2 linked regions of the Anolis sagrei genome follow. The protein of the gene in region 2 interacts with the protein of the main gene of each other region in a biochemical or structural test. Links are inferred from orthologs where the notes say so. Each region holds a gene or a part of one and is shown on either strand. Other genes may lie near its edges.

What was found.
Region 1: the proteins of DNM1L (region 2) and FIS1 form a complex in vitro, tested with the Homo sapiens proteins (2 studies listed by BioGRID). The link is inferred for Anolis sagrei from reciprocal best matches to the Homo sapiens genes DNM1L and FIS1.

The regions. Positions count from the first base shown.
Region 1 is NC_090026.1:11,730,015-11,738,245, reverse strand, and holds the start of FIS1 (mitochondrial fission 1 protein), read right to left. Parts: upstream 3,336-8,231; 5' UTR 3,271-3,335; coding exon 3,226-3,270; intron 1-3,225. UniProt on the Homo sapiens protein: Involved in the fragmentation of the mitochondrial network and its perinuclear clustering. Plays a minor role in the recruitment and association of the fission mediator dynamin-related protein 1 (DNM1L) to the mitochondrial surface and mitochondrial fission.
Region 2 is NC_090025.1:176,169,636-176,178,119, reverse strand, and holds the start of DNM1L (dynamin-1-like protein), read left to right. Parts: upstream 1-5,128; 5' UTR 5,129-5,267; coding exon 5,268-5,369; intron 5,370-8,484. UniProt on the Homo sapiens protein: Functions in mitochondrial and peroxisomal division.

The sequences.
Region 1 (8,231 bases), on a different chromosome or scaffold from region 2:
CCCTAAACGGTTCCGGCCCAAAATATCTTTCGGACCGCATCTCGGCCTATGAGCCCACGAGGGCCTTGAGATCGTCTGGGGAGGCCCTTCTCTCGATCCCGCCTGCTTCACAGGCACGTCTGGCGGGGACGAGAGAGAGGGCCTTCTCGGTGATGGCCCCCCGGCTGTGGAACACCCTCCCTGTTGACATCAGACAGGCGCCCTCCCTTATGTCTTTCCGAAAGAGCCTAAAGACATGGCTATTTGAGAAGGCATTTAACTGAGTGCTACATTAATTGGTAATGACAACTGGAACGGAATATGGATTACGAGATTGGTGACGATTCGACGATGAGACGGAGCGGATTATTTAGTGTAATTATATTATTGTGTATTAGTGATATGTTGATTTTTCGTTATTGCTTTATTGTAAATTGTCTTTTATATGTTGTACACCGCAGTGAGTCGCCCTAGGGCTGAGAACGGCGGTCAACAAATGCAGCAAATAAATAAATAAATAAATATAAGTATGTGTGTGTGTATGTATGTATATATGTATGTGTGTGTGTGTGTGTGTATGTGTGTGTATATATAAATGCTCATTTGTGGGATTAACAGAACTCAAAAACCACTGGGGGAATTGACACCAAATTTGGACACAAGACACTTAACAAACCAATATATGTCCTTCACTTAAAAAAAATTGATTTTGTCATTTGGGAGTTGTAGTTGCTGGGATTTATAGTTCACCTACAATCAAAGAACATTCTGAACCCCACCAACGATGGAATTGAACCAAACTTGGCACACAGTTCTCCCATGACCAACAGAAAATACTGGAAGGGTTTGGTGGGCAAACCCTTCCAGTTTTTGGAGTTGTAGTTCACCTACATCCAGAGATCACTGTGGACTCAAACAATGATGGCTCTGGACCAAACTCTACACGAATACTCAACATGCCCAAACGTGAACACTGGTGGAGTTTGGGGGAAATAGAATCTTGACATTTGGGAGTTGTAGTTGCTGGGATTCATAGTTCACCTACAATCACAGAGCAATCTGAACCCCACCAATGAATTGGGCCAAACCTCCCACACAGAACCCCCAAGTGGGCCACAGCAACGCGTGGCAGGGGACGGCTTGTGTGTTTGTGTGTATAAATGTATATATAAAATGTGTGTGTATAAATATAAATATACACACACATTATATATACATACACCCACATATATACATATATAGATATACATATACAAACCCAGAATTATAACCTGTTAATAGTGTATACCTTCCTCTTTGAAAAAATGCATGTATATCAACCCCACTGCTGTACCAGCTCCACTGGCTGCCGATCTGCTACTGGGCTCAATTCAAGGTGCTGGCATTAGCCTATAAAGCCCTAAACGGTTCCGGCCCAAGATACCTAACTGACCGCCTCTCGACCTATGAGCCCACGAGGACTTTGAGATCTTCCGGGGAGGCTCTGCTCTTGATCCCACCTGCTTCACAGGCACGGCTGGCGGGGACGAGAGATAGGGCCTTCTCGGTGGTGGCTCCTCGGCTGTGGAACACCCTCCTCGTGGACATCAGACTAGCTCCCTCCCTGCTGATATTCCGCAGGAAATTAAAGACCTGGCTGTTTAAGAAGGCGTTTGAACAAGAAGTACAACAATTGGTAATTGACCATAGGAATGAACAACGGAAATTGATACTGGATTGTGGTTTTGGCGATGAGACGACACGGAATGGTTTTTGTAGTAATGATGATGTTTTTGATGATGTTTTCTGATAATGTTGAATTGTGGATTATTTTATACTGTGTCTTATATTTTGCACCTTGTTTTTTGCTATATTGTACACTGCAGTGAGTCGCCCCTGGGCTGAGAACTGCAGTATATAAGCGAAGTAAATAAATAAATAAATAAATAATGTAGATGTAGATATAGAGCAATGTGGGTCCCCAGATGTTTTAGCCTACAACTCCCAGAAATCCTAAGAGCTGGTAAACTGGCTAGAATTTGTGGGAGTTGTAGGCCAAAACACCTAGGGACCCACAGGTTGAGAACCACTGATATAGAGTATTCTTAACTGCTGTGCAGTGGGAAGGAATCCCACTGGAGCATTGCAGCGCACCCAAATACCTGGGAGTCACTCTGGACCGTGCTCTTACCTACAAGAAGCACTGCCTGAACATCAAGCAAAAAGTGGGTGCTAGAAACAATATCATACGAAAGCTGACTGGCACAACCTGGGGATCACAACCAGATACAGTGAAGACATCTGCCCTTGCGCTATGCTACTCTGCTGCTGAGTACGCATGCCCAGTGTGGAACACATCTCACCACACTAAAACAGTGGATGTGGCTCTTAATGAGACATGCCGCATTATCAAGGGGTATCTGCGCCCTACACCACTGGAGAAATTACACTGCTTAGCCGGTATTGCACCACCTGACATCCGCCGGGAAGTAGCAGCCAATAGTGAAAGGACCAAGGCAGAGACATCTCCAGCTCATCCCCTGTTTGGGTATCAGCCAGCACGCCAACAACTTAAATCTAGACATAGTTTTCTAAGATCTACAGAGACACTCGCTGGAACACCTCAGCAAGCAAGAGTCCAAAAGTGGCAGGCTCAAACCCAGCACCTCAACCAATGGCTGATACCAAATGAGAGACTCCCTCCTGGGCACACAGAAGACTGGGCGACTTGGAAGGCATTGAACAGACTGCGCTCTGGCACGAGATGCAGAGCCAACCTTCAGAAATGGGGCTACAAAGTAGAATCCTCGACATGCGAGTGTGGAGAAGAGCAAACCACTGACCACCCGCTGCAATGCAACCTGAGCCCTGTCCCATGCACAATGGAGGACCTTCTTGCAGCAACACCGGAAGCACTCCAAGTGGCCAGATACTGGTCAAAGGACATTTAACCAGCTACCAAACTCACAAGTTGTGTATTTTTCTGTTTGTTTGCTCTGTTCTGTTAGAAATGTAATATAATGGACTGGTTGCTCTGACACGACAAATAAATAAAACTGCTTTGGTGAATACATATCTTGGGGGGGGGGGGGGAATATCCAGGATCACAAAGGGCCGTATCCCTTTAAAGGGGGCGGGGTGACACCCTGTAGTTTGTTTACCACCCTCTCGCCTGGGAACCGAGGCACACTGGCCCTTTAACTGGAGGCTCCATTTCACCAGCACAGCTTCACGATTATTATGGGAGGGAAAATATCTCCTGCTCACCTGTAGATCCTCCAGCGCCACCACTTCACTCACCACCGACTCCATTGCGCCCAATCCCGGAAGCGCTGACCTCAGCCGGAAACGGAAATCAGTTCCATTTCCTCCCTTCAAGTGCCACACCACGGCTTCACATTTGCTACGTCATTCTTTTTCCCCCTCCTTCGACTATAAAACTGCGCATGCGCTATCTGATTTTGCGGCTGGCGTTCCATTCCTCTTCTTCTTTGCGCTCATTGGAGGAGGAGAGCCAAAGGACCGCCCCCTAAAGGGTCCTGAACCAATCGCTAGCGAGAGGCCGGTCTACCTTGGCCACAAACGGTTCAGAGGTTCCTTAGAACTATTCAAACACATGATCTTAATGTCTGTGTAATGTGTTCCAATTGTGTTTTCTGTGACGACACCCCCCTGGCTACTGGTATTGAAAAACTCTAAAATCAGTACAGTAAATAAAGAGCAACACTCAAAAAAACAAGGGAATTCCAGACAAGAAACAATCAGGGCCAGCTAACACCTCCCAACAAAGGATTCCCCAGGAAGCAACCAGCTAGGCTTTGCAGCTGCAAGGTCATTAAATAATAATAATAATCCAGTTCTTGTGAAACAACCAGGCACATCTTAACACCTCTCTACAGAACATTTTCCCAGGCTCAGGCAGGCCTTCAAATGCTAATGAAGGTGGTCAGCTGAAACATTCACACCTAGCTTCAGCAGAGAGCTCTCTGCCCCACCCCAGTCATTCCACAGATATATAAATCCATTTTCCTATTTCCAACAGACCTCACTACCTCTGAGGATGCTTGCCATAGATGCAGGCGAAACGTCAGGAGAAATGCCTCTAGAACATGGCCCTATAGCCCGAAAAACCCCACAAGAACTGAGTGATTCCGGCCATGAAAGCCTTTGACAATACAATAATAATAATAATAATAATAATAATAATAATAAATGCTAATCAAGGTGCTCTATTGCAGCATTAAAATAAGAACAGCGCTCAAAAACGGGCATGCCAGGCAATAATCAATCAGAACCAGCTAATCACCTCCCAACAAAGGATTCCCCCAGGCAGGAAGCAGCCAAGCCTTGAAGCTGCAGGGCCATTAAATACTAATGAAGGTGTTCAATTGCAGCATTAAAAAAAGAACATTCAAAAACGGGAATTCCGGACAAGAAACAATCAGGATCAGCTAATCACTTCCCAACAGGCAGCAACCAGCTAAGCTTTGCAGCTGCGAGGCCATTAAATGTTAATCATGATGCTCGACTGCAGCATTAAAGAAAGAACACTCAAAAATGGGAATTCCGGACAAGAAACAATCAGGGCCAGCTAATCACCTCCCAACAAAGGAGTCCCCCAGGCAGCAACCAGCTAAGCTTTGCAGCTGCAAGGCCATTAAATGCTAATTAAGGTGCTGAATTGCAACATTAAAGAAAGAACACTCAAAAACGGGAATTCCTGACAAGAAACAACCAAGACCAGCTAATCATCTCCCAACAAAGGATTCCCCTAGGCAGGAAGCAGAGAAGCTTTGAAGCTGCAAGGCTATTCAATGCTAATCAAGGTGCTCAATTGCAGCATTGACACTTGCCTCAAACAGACAAGAGTTCTTCCACTCCGGACATTCAATAGATATATAAACCTCACTTACTTAGTTTCCAACAGATCTCATGACCCCTGAGGATGCCTGCCATAGATGTGGGCAAAATGTCAGGAGAGAATGCTTCTAGAACACGGCCATAGAGCAGAAAACTCACAGAAACCTAAACCCCTCTATACTGGAAACTGAAAAAAAATAGCCTTATTTGACTCTGGAAACTTCTTTGTGATTCTGGTCCTCTTTCCATTTGGCCTTTTTCCACACTACACAATTATAGCAGTATAGTCACACTTTAATTCCTATGGAATCCTGGAATTGGCAGATTAAGGTGGGAGATAAACCCGGATCCCAGGTTTTCTGCTTTGGACTGGAATATATGAGTTCATACTACCAGATAATCTGGGATAAACAAAAACCTGGGATCAGATCCTGGGATATAGGGCCTGTCTGGAAGGGTCCTTCGAATGATCAACTAGAGAGATATAGTGCATGCTTGCTGTGTTGACTACCAACGAGTCTACTTTGATTAGGAAACCTTCAAAGTTGTATTTACACTATAGAATTAAAACAGTTTGATACTACTTTCATTGCCATGGGATCATGGGAGATGTAGTTTTACAGGCTCTCTGGCGTCCTCCGACCAAGAGTGTTGGTGCCTCACCAAACTACAAATCCCACAATTCCATAGCACTGAGTCGTAGCAGGTAATGTGGCTTCAAACTGCATTCATTCTAGAGTGTAGATCAGGTATGGGCAAACTTGGGCCCTACAGGTGTTTTGGACTCCAACTCCCACAATTCCTAACAGCCGGTAGGCTATTAGGAATTGTGGGAGTTGGAGTCCAAAACACCTGGAGGGCTCAAGTTTGCCCGTGCCTGGTGTAGATATACCCCAAGTTGCCCTGCAGAATCAGGGAAGACTTGGCTTCCTTTATGGAGTTCCTCCACTTCTGATGTATTATTATCCTTTTCTGACAAGCCTGATAGTATGCTACAAACTACAAATCCCAGCATCCCATAGCCATTGGCACATAGTGTGGAATCATAGTGCTATAGCACCACGATGCGGAAGAGCCATGAGAGGCAAGTTAGTTCAAAAACCTTGGGTTGGATTCAATTCCACAAACATCACCAAAGGGAGCATCATTATCATTTATTATTATTTAACATGGGACGTACTGAAAGTATGTTATCATCTCAAGCTGATGGGATTTGAATCAGAAGTCCCCAGCGCATCGAACCATCTGATCCACAGATTTCTCTAGTGAGCTACCGTAAATCAAAGATTTGATAATGTCTCTCCAATCTATATACTTTCCTAACTCGAGAAGCAAGTTGTAACCTGCCCTCAATTGCATGCATTTACCTGATATTTTCTCGGTGGTAATTGCAACAAAAATAATCATAGCAACTCCCCTGGCGTGCCATTCATCAGTCTATCATGGGAATTAGCATATTGCTAACTCCGCTTAGTATATTGCTTATTTGGTTAATGAGTCCGAACGGCCCTGAGGACGAAAGTTGGTAGAATAGCATGTTCCAAATGGGAATCAATTAATTTTGTCAACTGGGATAGAACTGGAAAAGTTTCATGGCCAGAAGTTCTTGCCTCAAAAATTAATGCTTTGTTTTCTAGTACCATTCTGACACTTTTACACCAGAACAAAAGGGTAGGAAACCAACAGGTGAAGCTTTCCCCACCAATTGCTCTATATCAGCGTTTCTCAACCTGGGGGTTGGGACCCTTGGGTGGGTTGCTAGGGGGTACCAGATAGGTCGCCAATGACCATCAGAAAACACAGTATTTTCTGTTGCTCATGGGGGTTCTGTGTGCGAAGTTTGGCCCAATTCTATCGTTGGTGGGGTTCGGAATGCTCTTTGATTGTAGTTGAACTATAAATCCCAGCAACTAGCACTTCCAAATGTCAAGGTCTATTTCCTCCAAACTCTACCAATGTCCACATTTGAGCATATTGAGTATTTGTGTCAAGTTTGATCCAGATCCATCATTGTTTGAGTCCCCACTGCTTTCTGGATGTAGGTGAACTACAACTCCAAAACCTTCCAATACTTTATGTTGGTCATGGGAGTTCTGTGTGCCAAATTTGGTTCAATTCCAACATTGGTGGAGTTCAGAATGCTCTTTAATTGTAGGTGAACTTTCAATCCCAGCAACTACAACTCCCAAATGACAAAATCAATCCTCCCCAACCCCACCAGTATTCAAATGTGGGTATATCAAATATTTGTGCCAAATTTGATCCAGAGGATGCAAATACATCCTGCATATCGAATATTTACATTATAATTCATAACAGTAGCAAAATTAGAGTTATGAAGTAGCAATGAAAATGTTATGGTTGGGGGTCATGACAACATGAGGAACTGTATTAAGGGGTCACGGTATTGGGAAGGTTAAGAAACACTGCTTTAGGTAGTATGTGTTCCTTTGAGGTAGCCTGGCAAGATGTTGACAAATCTTCCCAGGACAAGGAAGTGCAGGCAAAGGTGATCGCAAAACTTCAGCTGGTGACTTCTCCAATAATTTTGTACAGTTATACAGAAGCATAGACAAGATTATACATACAATGTTCCCTCACTACTTGGCAATTCGCTTTTTGCAGACTCGCTGTTCCACGTGTTTTTGCCTCCCCGTTTATGAATGGTTGCCATTGCCCAAAAACTACTAACAAATACCAGTCTGGTGGCCGTTATCTAGCCGAAGTTTGTGGTTGGAGACTCTATAGTCCATTACCATAGCCATTGTCATCGTTGCTATTGTCCGCATAGTTACCCGAAGGCCTGGTCCCCTATCCACATTTTTAACTTCTTTCTAAAGGAGATAACCTAATTTCCCCGAGGAGTGAATTCCACAGGCGGGGGGCCACCACCAATAAGGCCCTGTCCCTCATCCCCACCAAGCACGTTTGAGACAGAGGCGGGGCCAAGAGCATATATAGCATCCCTAGTTCACGGATTTTCATTTTTTGCGGGTGGTCTTGGAATGTAACACCCACAATAAGTGAGGGAACACTGTATTCATATATGAGGGGCTGTGATTGCAGGGATACCCAATTCTGGAGGCCTGGCTCCCACAGGTTAGGGGGTACACATACAGATCAGGCACATAAGGTTTCTGAGGGGCTCCTATCTCCCTGGGTCCTTTTATGGGGAAGAAAAATATGAAGGCAAGGGCGTCTAGACCCTAGATGGGCTGGCCCGCCTTGGGAAGGAAAACACATGCAGAAAGGGCCTGCGGGAGAAGAAGGGAGATCCTCTAGATCTCCATATCCACAGGGGAATTGGGCTGACATAGGTGATGGGATAGGGAATCTGGCACAAGGGAGGGTATTATGGGTTAGATAGTTATTGGATAGGAGTGGAAATGACTCCTATAATCCAGATTAAAGCA
Region 2 (8,484 bases):
CACTACAATAGGTACATCTGTAGAATTAATGCAGCTTAACACCCCTTTAACTGTTCTGGAAGCTGTATTTCTGGCATAGGAGAGGGATTGGCTGGTGACTGCTGGAAGAGCACTTTTGTTTTCTTGATGTTTAATGACAGGCCGAGCTTCTCGTAAGTTTCTGCGAAGGTGTTTAGAGTGGCTTGTGGGTTTTCTTCTGAATGCACACAGACGACGTTGTCATCAGCATATTCAAGTTCTATAACAGATGTTGTAACCTTGGTTTTGGCTTTCAGACTGCTGAGGTTAAATAGCTTGCCATCTGTTCGATAATGATTTCCACTCCAGTGGGAAGCTTCCCGTCAACAAGATGAAGTATCATAGCGATGAAGATGGAAAATAAGGTTGGGGTGAAGCATCTGACCAAAGCACCCATTGGCATTAACGAACAACTATCAACCATCCGATTTAACCTTGCCAAAAACCAAAAGGCAACCGTCATAAATGCCTATGCACTAACACAGACTCAGAAGCATAGTGGGCAGATCAAAAGACAACCTGGCAAAATGGCACTACCTAGAAGAATCCTCCACCTTGTGTGACTGCGGAGCAGAACAGACAACTCCGCACCAGTATGCTTGTCCACTACACTCTGCTTCATGTACAGAGGAAGAATTATTGGAGGCTACAGACAATGCGGTTGCTGTTGCCAGTTTTTGGTCAAAAGATATTTAGCCACTTGTGCTCCTTCTATTTGTATCAGTTTTATACTAATTTATGCAATGCTTTTGATACAAAATATATTGATAAAAAGGAAGAACTTCCTGACTGTAAGAAGAGCTGTTCAGCAGTGGAACTCTCTGCCTCGGGAGTGTGGCAGAAGCTCCTTCCTTGAAAACTCCTCATATTGCACTTCCTTCCACCTTTCTGAAGGCCTATCTCCACTATTCTGTCCCCTACAAGCTCCTCCCTTACAAATATTCCTTTTTTATTTTTATCTCATCCAGAGGTTTATCATTTTACGTCATACATTTGGCTCACCCATTGCATTTGATTTTTCATTTTGTTACTTTGAACTGCTTTATTGTACTTTTAGGTTTTACTTATTTTATTGTGATGTTATTTTTGTCGCTCTGTATTTATTTTGCTGTAATGTTGCCCGAGGGCTGAAAAAAGCGGTATATAAATAAAGTAAATAATATATAAATAAGGTAAATAAGTAATGTACTACCGGGCTTGGCCTCATGTAAGCCGCCCCAAGTCCCCTTTGGGGAGATGATGGCGGGGTATAAATAAAGTTTATAATTATATTATTATAAACCTTTAAACAGAGGCTGGATGGCCATCTGCCAGGGGTGCTTTGATTGTGCTTTTCCTGTATGGCAGGGGGTTGGACTAGATGACCCAGGTCGTTGCTTCCAACTCTATAATAGGCATGAGCAAGTGTAATGATTCTTACCTAGTAGGCTGAAGGAGAAGCCAGGGATATCAGTGAGGTAGGCCTCCGTTTTGGGAGTGTACGCAAAGGAAGCAGACATCTTGAGAGGGTAAAGTGAGAAGAGGGGAGGAGCTGGAGATTTCTTAGGATTGGTTAGGACAGATGGGAGGAGTTAAGTCCTGAGAGGGAAAAGTGTCAGCTTCACAGAGAGAAGGGTTTTAGGAATTGAAGAAGAGAGATTGAATTTGGGAACAGAAGAGAGAGGAGAGGTATTTTTAGGCTTAGGATTTTTCTGACAGAGCGTTTGTGACAGGCAAGGCTGCATTATTGGCCAGGACGGTCAAGTAGTCACCTGGGTGCTTGTGTGGGCTTACACAAGTGCTTTGCTCTCTGGGTAGAGTAGATTAGCCACATAGAGAACTCTGCTTAGAGTGGGCTAATTGCTCTGAAGACAGCCTGAGTAGGTTAGTCTAGGGAACTCACTGCTACTGTATTATTGTAGAGTGAGGAGTTTTACGAGTGACTAAGTCAAGTAACCTGTTTAAAGTAACCATCAAGAATACTGTACTGTAGTAACCATTTAAGCTTTTGTGCCTCATCAAAGAAGACAGTTGTTTGTTTGATCTTATCAATAAATCTTTTATCTATTTCAACTTTTAAAGAAGCCTCGGTTGTAATTCATTCCTGTGAGAATAATCCTAGTTGTTTTAACATCTTAACATCACAGTCATCTCAGGGAGCTAAGGGAGAAGTGTGTGGCAAGGAAGAAGTTAACCTCAGAGAATCATTCTTCAATATCCTGAAGTATTTTAGGTGGTGGCAGCAAATCTACCAGAGTACACACTGTGCTGGTACAGCTGTACCAGGAGCTCCAATTCTGTTTGCTTTGCATTAAATGTTTGTTTGCAATCCCAGGCTTGGGATTTTGTAGCAAGGTGGCTTCCTGTTATAGGTTGCAATCATAGGGCAAGCCACCTGTCAATTATCGATAGGTTCCCTGATCCCGCCCCTTTTTGAGTTTTAGTGGGAATAGAAGCCATTTTGAGTTCAGTCCACACAGAGCAGCTTTCCATACAGGACATGAAACCAAGAGCTCCTGTAGAAAGCTTCGTCTTCTACGGCTTGGCCAGGGAGATATACAGCCTACAGCTTGGCCGGGGTTATACAGCCCACGGCTTGGCCGGGGAGACACAGCCCACAGCTTGGCTGAGGATTTTGCAGCCTTACAGCTCCTTTGCTGAGGGACTTCAGCCGGCCATCACTGAAACCTGAACTCCTTTTTTCCCAAGGAAGTTTACAAAGCTCTGCTTGATAAGGGCCGCTTGCAGAAGCCAGACGCAGTTGGTACCAGGTGCAGGGGCTCCATGCCAACAGAGGCAAGTACAGACTGCCCAGATTAGAAGTTAAGGATTTCCCCATTAGTTAGTATACAGTTATGAAGATAGTGCCTGTTCCCAGTGAACAAGATTGCAAGAGCCAATAGACTGTTAAGAAAGCTTTAAAGAACCTGTTTGTTTTCATCAATAAAGAACTTTGTTGGACTTACTTTAAGCCTCTACAGAACTCTGTTTGGGGGGAATCCAAAGGCCTTTAATCTGAGGCAGCCCCGGCGTCCCGTTGGGAATTTATGTCCTGTCTACAGTCATATGCACAGGCCCAGTGTGCGACAGCACACACGTTACCTCATATATATATACAAACACTCTGTGAAAGAACCTATATTCCTTTATACTGGTGTCAGCAGGTGGGATATGTGATATATTTTCCCCCCTGACAGCGTAAAAGGTCCCTTCACCTATATGTAATTTCGTTACGAGTGGTGACCAGCGGTGTAATTTAGAATAGCATACTTATAATAACTCCGTATCAGGATCACGTTCCTTTATAACAGTGTTTCTCAACCTGGGGGTCGGGACCCCTGGAGGGGTCACGAGGGGGTGCCAGAGGGTTCACCAGAGACCACAAGAAAGCACAGTATTTTTTGTTGGTCATGGAGGTTCTGTGTGGGAAGTTTGGCCCAATTCAATCATTGGCAGGGTTCAGAATGCTCTTTGATTGTAGGTGAACTATAAATACCAGCAACTACAACTCCCAAATGTCAAGGTCTATTTTCCCCAAACCCCACTAGTGTTTACATTTGGGAATATTGAGAATTCGTGCCAAGTTTGGTCTAGATCCATCATTGTTTGAGTCCACAGTGCTCTCTGGATGTAGGTGAACTACAACTCCCAAAACTCAAGGTCACTGCCTACCAAACCTTCCCAGTATTTTCTCCTGGTCATGGGAATTTTGTGTGCCAAGTTTGATTCAACTCCATTCCCTAAGGTCCAGCTCTCACATCCGTAGGTTACTACAGGGAATACCATGGCTTTGCCTAGGCGGTGGAGTTCAGAATGCTCTTTGATTGTAGGTGAACTATAAATCCCAGCAACTACAACTCCCACAGGACAAAACTAATACTCTTCCCCAATCCCACCAGTATTTAAATTTGGGTGTATTGGGTCTTTGTGCCAAATTTGGTCCAGTGTATGAAAATACATCTTGAATATCAGATATTTACATTACTATTCATGTTGTTGTTGTTCATTCGTTCAGTCGTCTCCGACTCGTGACCTCATGGACCAGCCCACGCCAGAGCTCCCTGTCGGCCGTCACCACCCCCAGCTCCTTCAAGGTCAGTCCAGTCACTTCAAGGATGCCATCCATCCATCTTGTCCTTGGTCGGCCCCTCTTCCTTTTACCTTCCACTTTCCCCAGCATAATTGTCTTCTCCAGGGTTTGCTGTCTCCTCATGATGTGGCCAAAGGACTTCAACTTTGTCTCTAGTATCCTTCCCTCCAATGAGCAGTTGGGCTTTATTTCTTGGAGGATGGACTGGTTGGATCTTCTCGCGGTCCAAGTCACTCTCAGCACTTTCCTCCAACACCACAGTTCAAAAGCATCGATCTTCCTTTGCTCAGCCTTACCTAAGGTCCAGCTCTCACATCCGTAGGTGACTACAGGGAATACCATGGCTTTGACTAGGCGGATCTTTGTTGCCAGTGTGATGTCTCTGCTCTTTACTATTTTATCGAGATTGGACATTGCTCTCCTCCCAAGAAGTAAGCGTCTTCTGATTTCCTGGTCACAGTCTGCATCTGCAGTAATCTTTGCACCTAGAAATACAAAGTCTGTCACAGCCTCCACATAGATATTTACATTGCTATTCAGAACAGCAGCAAAATGACAGTTGTGAAGTAGCAATGAAACTAATTTTATGGTTGGGGGTCACCATAACATTAAGGGGTCGTGGCATTAGGAAGGTTGAGAACCACTGCTTTATAGCAAGCTTGGGCCCTCCAGGTAGGCTGTTAGGAATTGTAGGATTTGAAGTCCAAAACACCTGGAGGGCCCAAGCTTGCCCATGCCTGTTCTATTCTAATTGCACTCTTTGGCCTTGGAAAACTCCCATGATTTCACAGCCTGGAGTCAAAGTGCATCCCTTCTACAATGGAGAAGGCTCTATAATGCAGCCTAAGTACCTCATCACTGGAGTATCTGTCTATCCTAGTACCCACTTTAGATCCTCCTGCAGAATCCTAGCGTTTGAGGCCTCCTGCCTCCGTTTCCTGCTTCTCCCGCCGCCCTCTAGGGGGAAACAACGGTCCCAATTGCAGCTGCACTACAACTCCCGGCAGCCTTTGCGAAGGCTTGGCCTCCTGCGGTGGCGCGCATGCGTAGGGCCTGCCGGGAGTGAGCGGGGCCGGCGCCAGTGGTCGGCGGCGGGGGAAGGTGCCAGAGCTCGTGCCCTTCCCTGCCGCCGCCGCTTCCTCCATTCATTGCCCTTCGCCTCCTTCGCCCGCTCGCCGCCATGGAGGCGCTGATTCCCGTCATCAATAAGCTGCAGGACGTCTTCAACACGGTGGGCGCCGACATCATCCAGCTGCCGCAGATTGTGGTGGTGGGCACGCAGGTGAGGCGGGCCGCTCGGGGGCGGGGCCTGGGCGCGTGTGGGCGGGGCCTGGGCCACCACAGTGGGCGGGGCTTAAGCCAGGATGACCTCCACCTGGGCAGAAGGTCTAGGGGTGCTGTTGGAGTGCTCAAGTGAGAGGCTCAAGGGTGGCTTTTATTTTAATTACTCTTATCAATATTTGCATTTGGGGTTTTATTATTTGGTTGGGGTGTTGGCCTACAAAAGTACTTCTCCCTTAATCTGAAATGCTTGGGACCAGGCTTTTCACCAGACTAAGGCGAAAGTCTTGCAAGGCCTGCAATATCTTGTCACTTAATAATTACTTGATTAAATCTTTCCATAGGAATACTGTTTTGTTTTTTCATTTCCAATTTCCATATTTTCAATACCATAGCACCATATTTCCAATATTATTTTACAACACAACAATTTCCAGTACCATAGCATCATATTTCCAATATTATTTTCCAATATGATTTCCAGTACCCCAGCATCATATTTCCAGTATTATTTTCCAGCATAACCATTTCCAATACCATAGCATATTCCCAATATTATTTTCCAGTGCAACAATTTCCAATATTGTAGAATCATATTTCCAATACAATTTCCAATACAATGATTTCCAGTACCATAGCATCATATTTCCAGTATTATTTTCCAACATAACCATTTCCAATACCAAAGCATCATATTTCCAATATTATTTTCCAACATAACCATTTCCAGTACCATAGCATCATATTTCCAATATTGTTTTCCAGTGCAGCAATTTCCAATACCGTAGTATCTTATTTCCAATACCATTTCCAATACAACGAGTTCCAGTACCCTAGCATCATATTTCCAATATTGTTTTCCAGTGCAACAATTTCCAATACTGTAGTATCATATTTCCAATACCATTTCCAATACAATGATTTCTAGTACCATAGCATCATGTTCCCAATATTATTTTCTAGTGCAACAGTTTCCAATACCATTTCCAATACAATGATTTCCAGTATCATAGCATCATATTTCCAATATTGTTTTCCAGTGCAGCAATTTCCAATACCGTAGTATCATATTTCCAATACCATTTCCAATACAATGATTTCCAGTACCATAGCATCATATTTCCAATATTATTTTCCAGTGCAACAATTTCCAATACTGTAGTATCATATTTTCAATACCATTTCCAATACCATGATTTCCAGTACCATATTATTATATATCCAATATTACTTTAAAATACAGCAATTTCCAATTCCATAGTATCATATTTCCAATTCCATTTCCAATACAGTAATTTCCCATATCATGGCATTATACACAGTATGTTTAGGTAATACATTTACATCAGTGGTTCTCAATATGTGGGTCCCCAGGTGTTTTGGCCTACAACTCTCAGAAATCCCAACAAGTTTACCAGATGTTAGGATTTCTGGGATTTGAAGGCCAAAACATCTGGGGACTCACCAGCTGAGAACCAAATCTCATCAGTGGTGTCCAATACTATAGCATATATACAGGATACATGACATTTAGGACCCCCTTGTGACCCAAGTCCAAATATGTATTTTATTTATTTACCCTCTCTCTCTCATTGAAGGACTCAGAGCAGCTAAATTGGATTTTCCCCCCAATACACCTTAACCACATAACCTGAGGATAATTTTATATGGGATATTTTAAATAATTTTGTGCGTGGAGCAAAGCTTGCATGCATTAAACTATCAGAAAGTAAAGGGGCCACTTTGAGTGAAATTCACTGTGAAATTAATGCAGTTTGACACCACTTCCCTAGCTTAGTGTCATGGGATCATGTAGTTTTACAAGGTCTTTAGCCTTCTCTGCCAAAGATTATTACAAACCCAAGAATACCATACCATTGTGCCATTGCAGTTTTCAAATTGCATTTACAGTATAAATGTGCCCTATGCCAGCCCCCCAAGTGGACAGTTTTGTGCTTTGGAGGATTTGGGGTTTCTGGATAAGGAATATTCAGCCTATTACTGCTTATTGCAAGTATTATCCAGTGTTGGTTAAGTGGAGAATTATTAGTGTTCAGAGCACGTTGCAATCCCTATGGGTCTCCTGCTTAATGGCATGCTGCCCAGTTGAAGGGGATGCGTTCCACATTGGAGGATTTAAGTGGGGTGGGGAGATAGGATTTTCAGATCCTGTCCTAATTAAACAATTTGTTCCTGAAAGATAAAAAGCAGCCCTGGATGACATCTTGGAGGCACAGACTGTCCTATTGCTACTGAAGCTTTTGCAATGCCACACAGTACATACTCTCTTTAAGATTGCAGCAACAGTCTACATTATTAGTATTCAGTGCAACAGACTTATGTATTAGATTTAGACTTTTAAAAACCACCAAGGCGGTTCTGGCAGAAAAAAGGCTGGTTAGGAGGTTCCTTGGGGACATTGAGATAGCTGTTCTTGGAAATGGGAGTGATCTTGCTCTGAGCTAGAAAGACAATTCTGATGTCCTTAAAGCTGAAAGGAAACAATATGAGTGTCATAAATGCAAAGATAATACATAGATCTTTAGAACACTGTTGCATGTGGAGTCTGAAGGTTCATCTACACTGCAAAATTAATGCAGTTTGAAACCTTTTTAGCTGTCGTGACTGAATATTAATGGGATTCTGGGAGGTGTAGCTTGTTTGGCACCAGCAGTCTTTGAGATAGAAGACTAAAGTTCTTGTAAAACTACAACACCTATGATTCCATAGCATTGAGCCAAGGCAGGTAAAGCAGTGGCAAACTGCATTAATTCTACAGTGTAGATGTGCTTTCAGTGTACAGTGGTCCTTAGAAATGTATGTGAAACCATGTCCTCACTTGGAGCATGTAACGGCCATTGTCATGATAAACAAACTGGGGAATTCAAAGATTGTGATGCTGTCCAGTTGGTCCATACATAACATCAGAAGTCCCCAAACTAAGGCCTGCAGGCCGGATACGGCCCTCCAAGGTTATTTACTTGGCCTTGCCCTAAACTTTAGACCAGGGGTCCTCAAACTTTTTAAACAGAGGGCCAGGTCACAGTCCCTCAAACTGTTGGAGAGCCGGAATATAATTTGAAAAAAAATGAATTCCTATGCATACTGCACATATC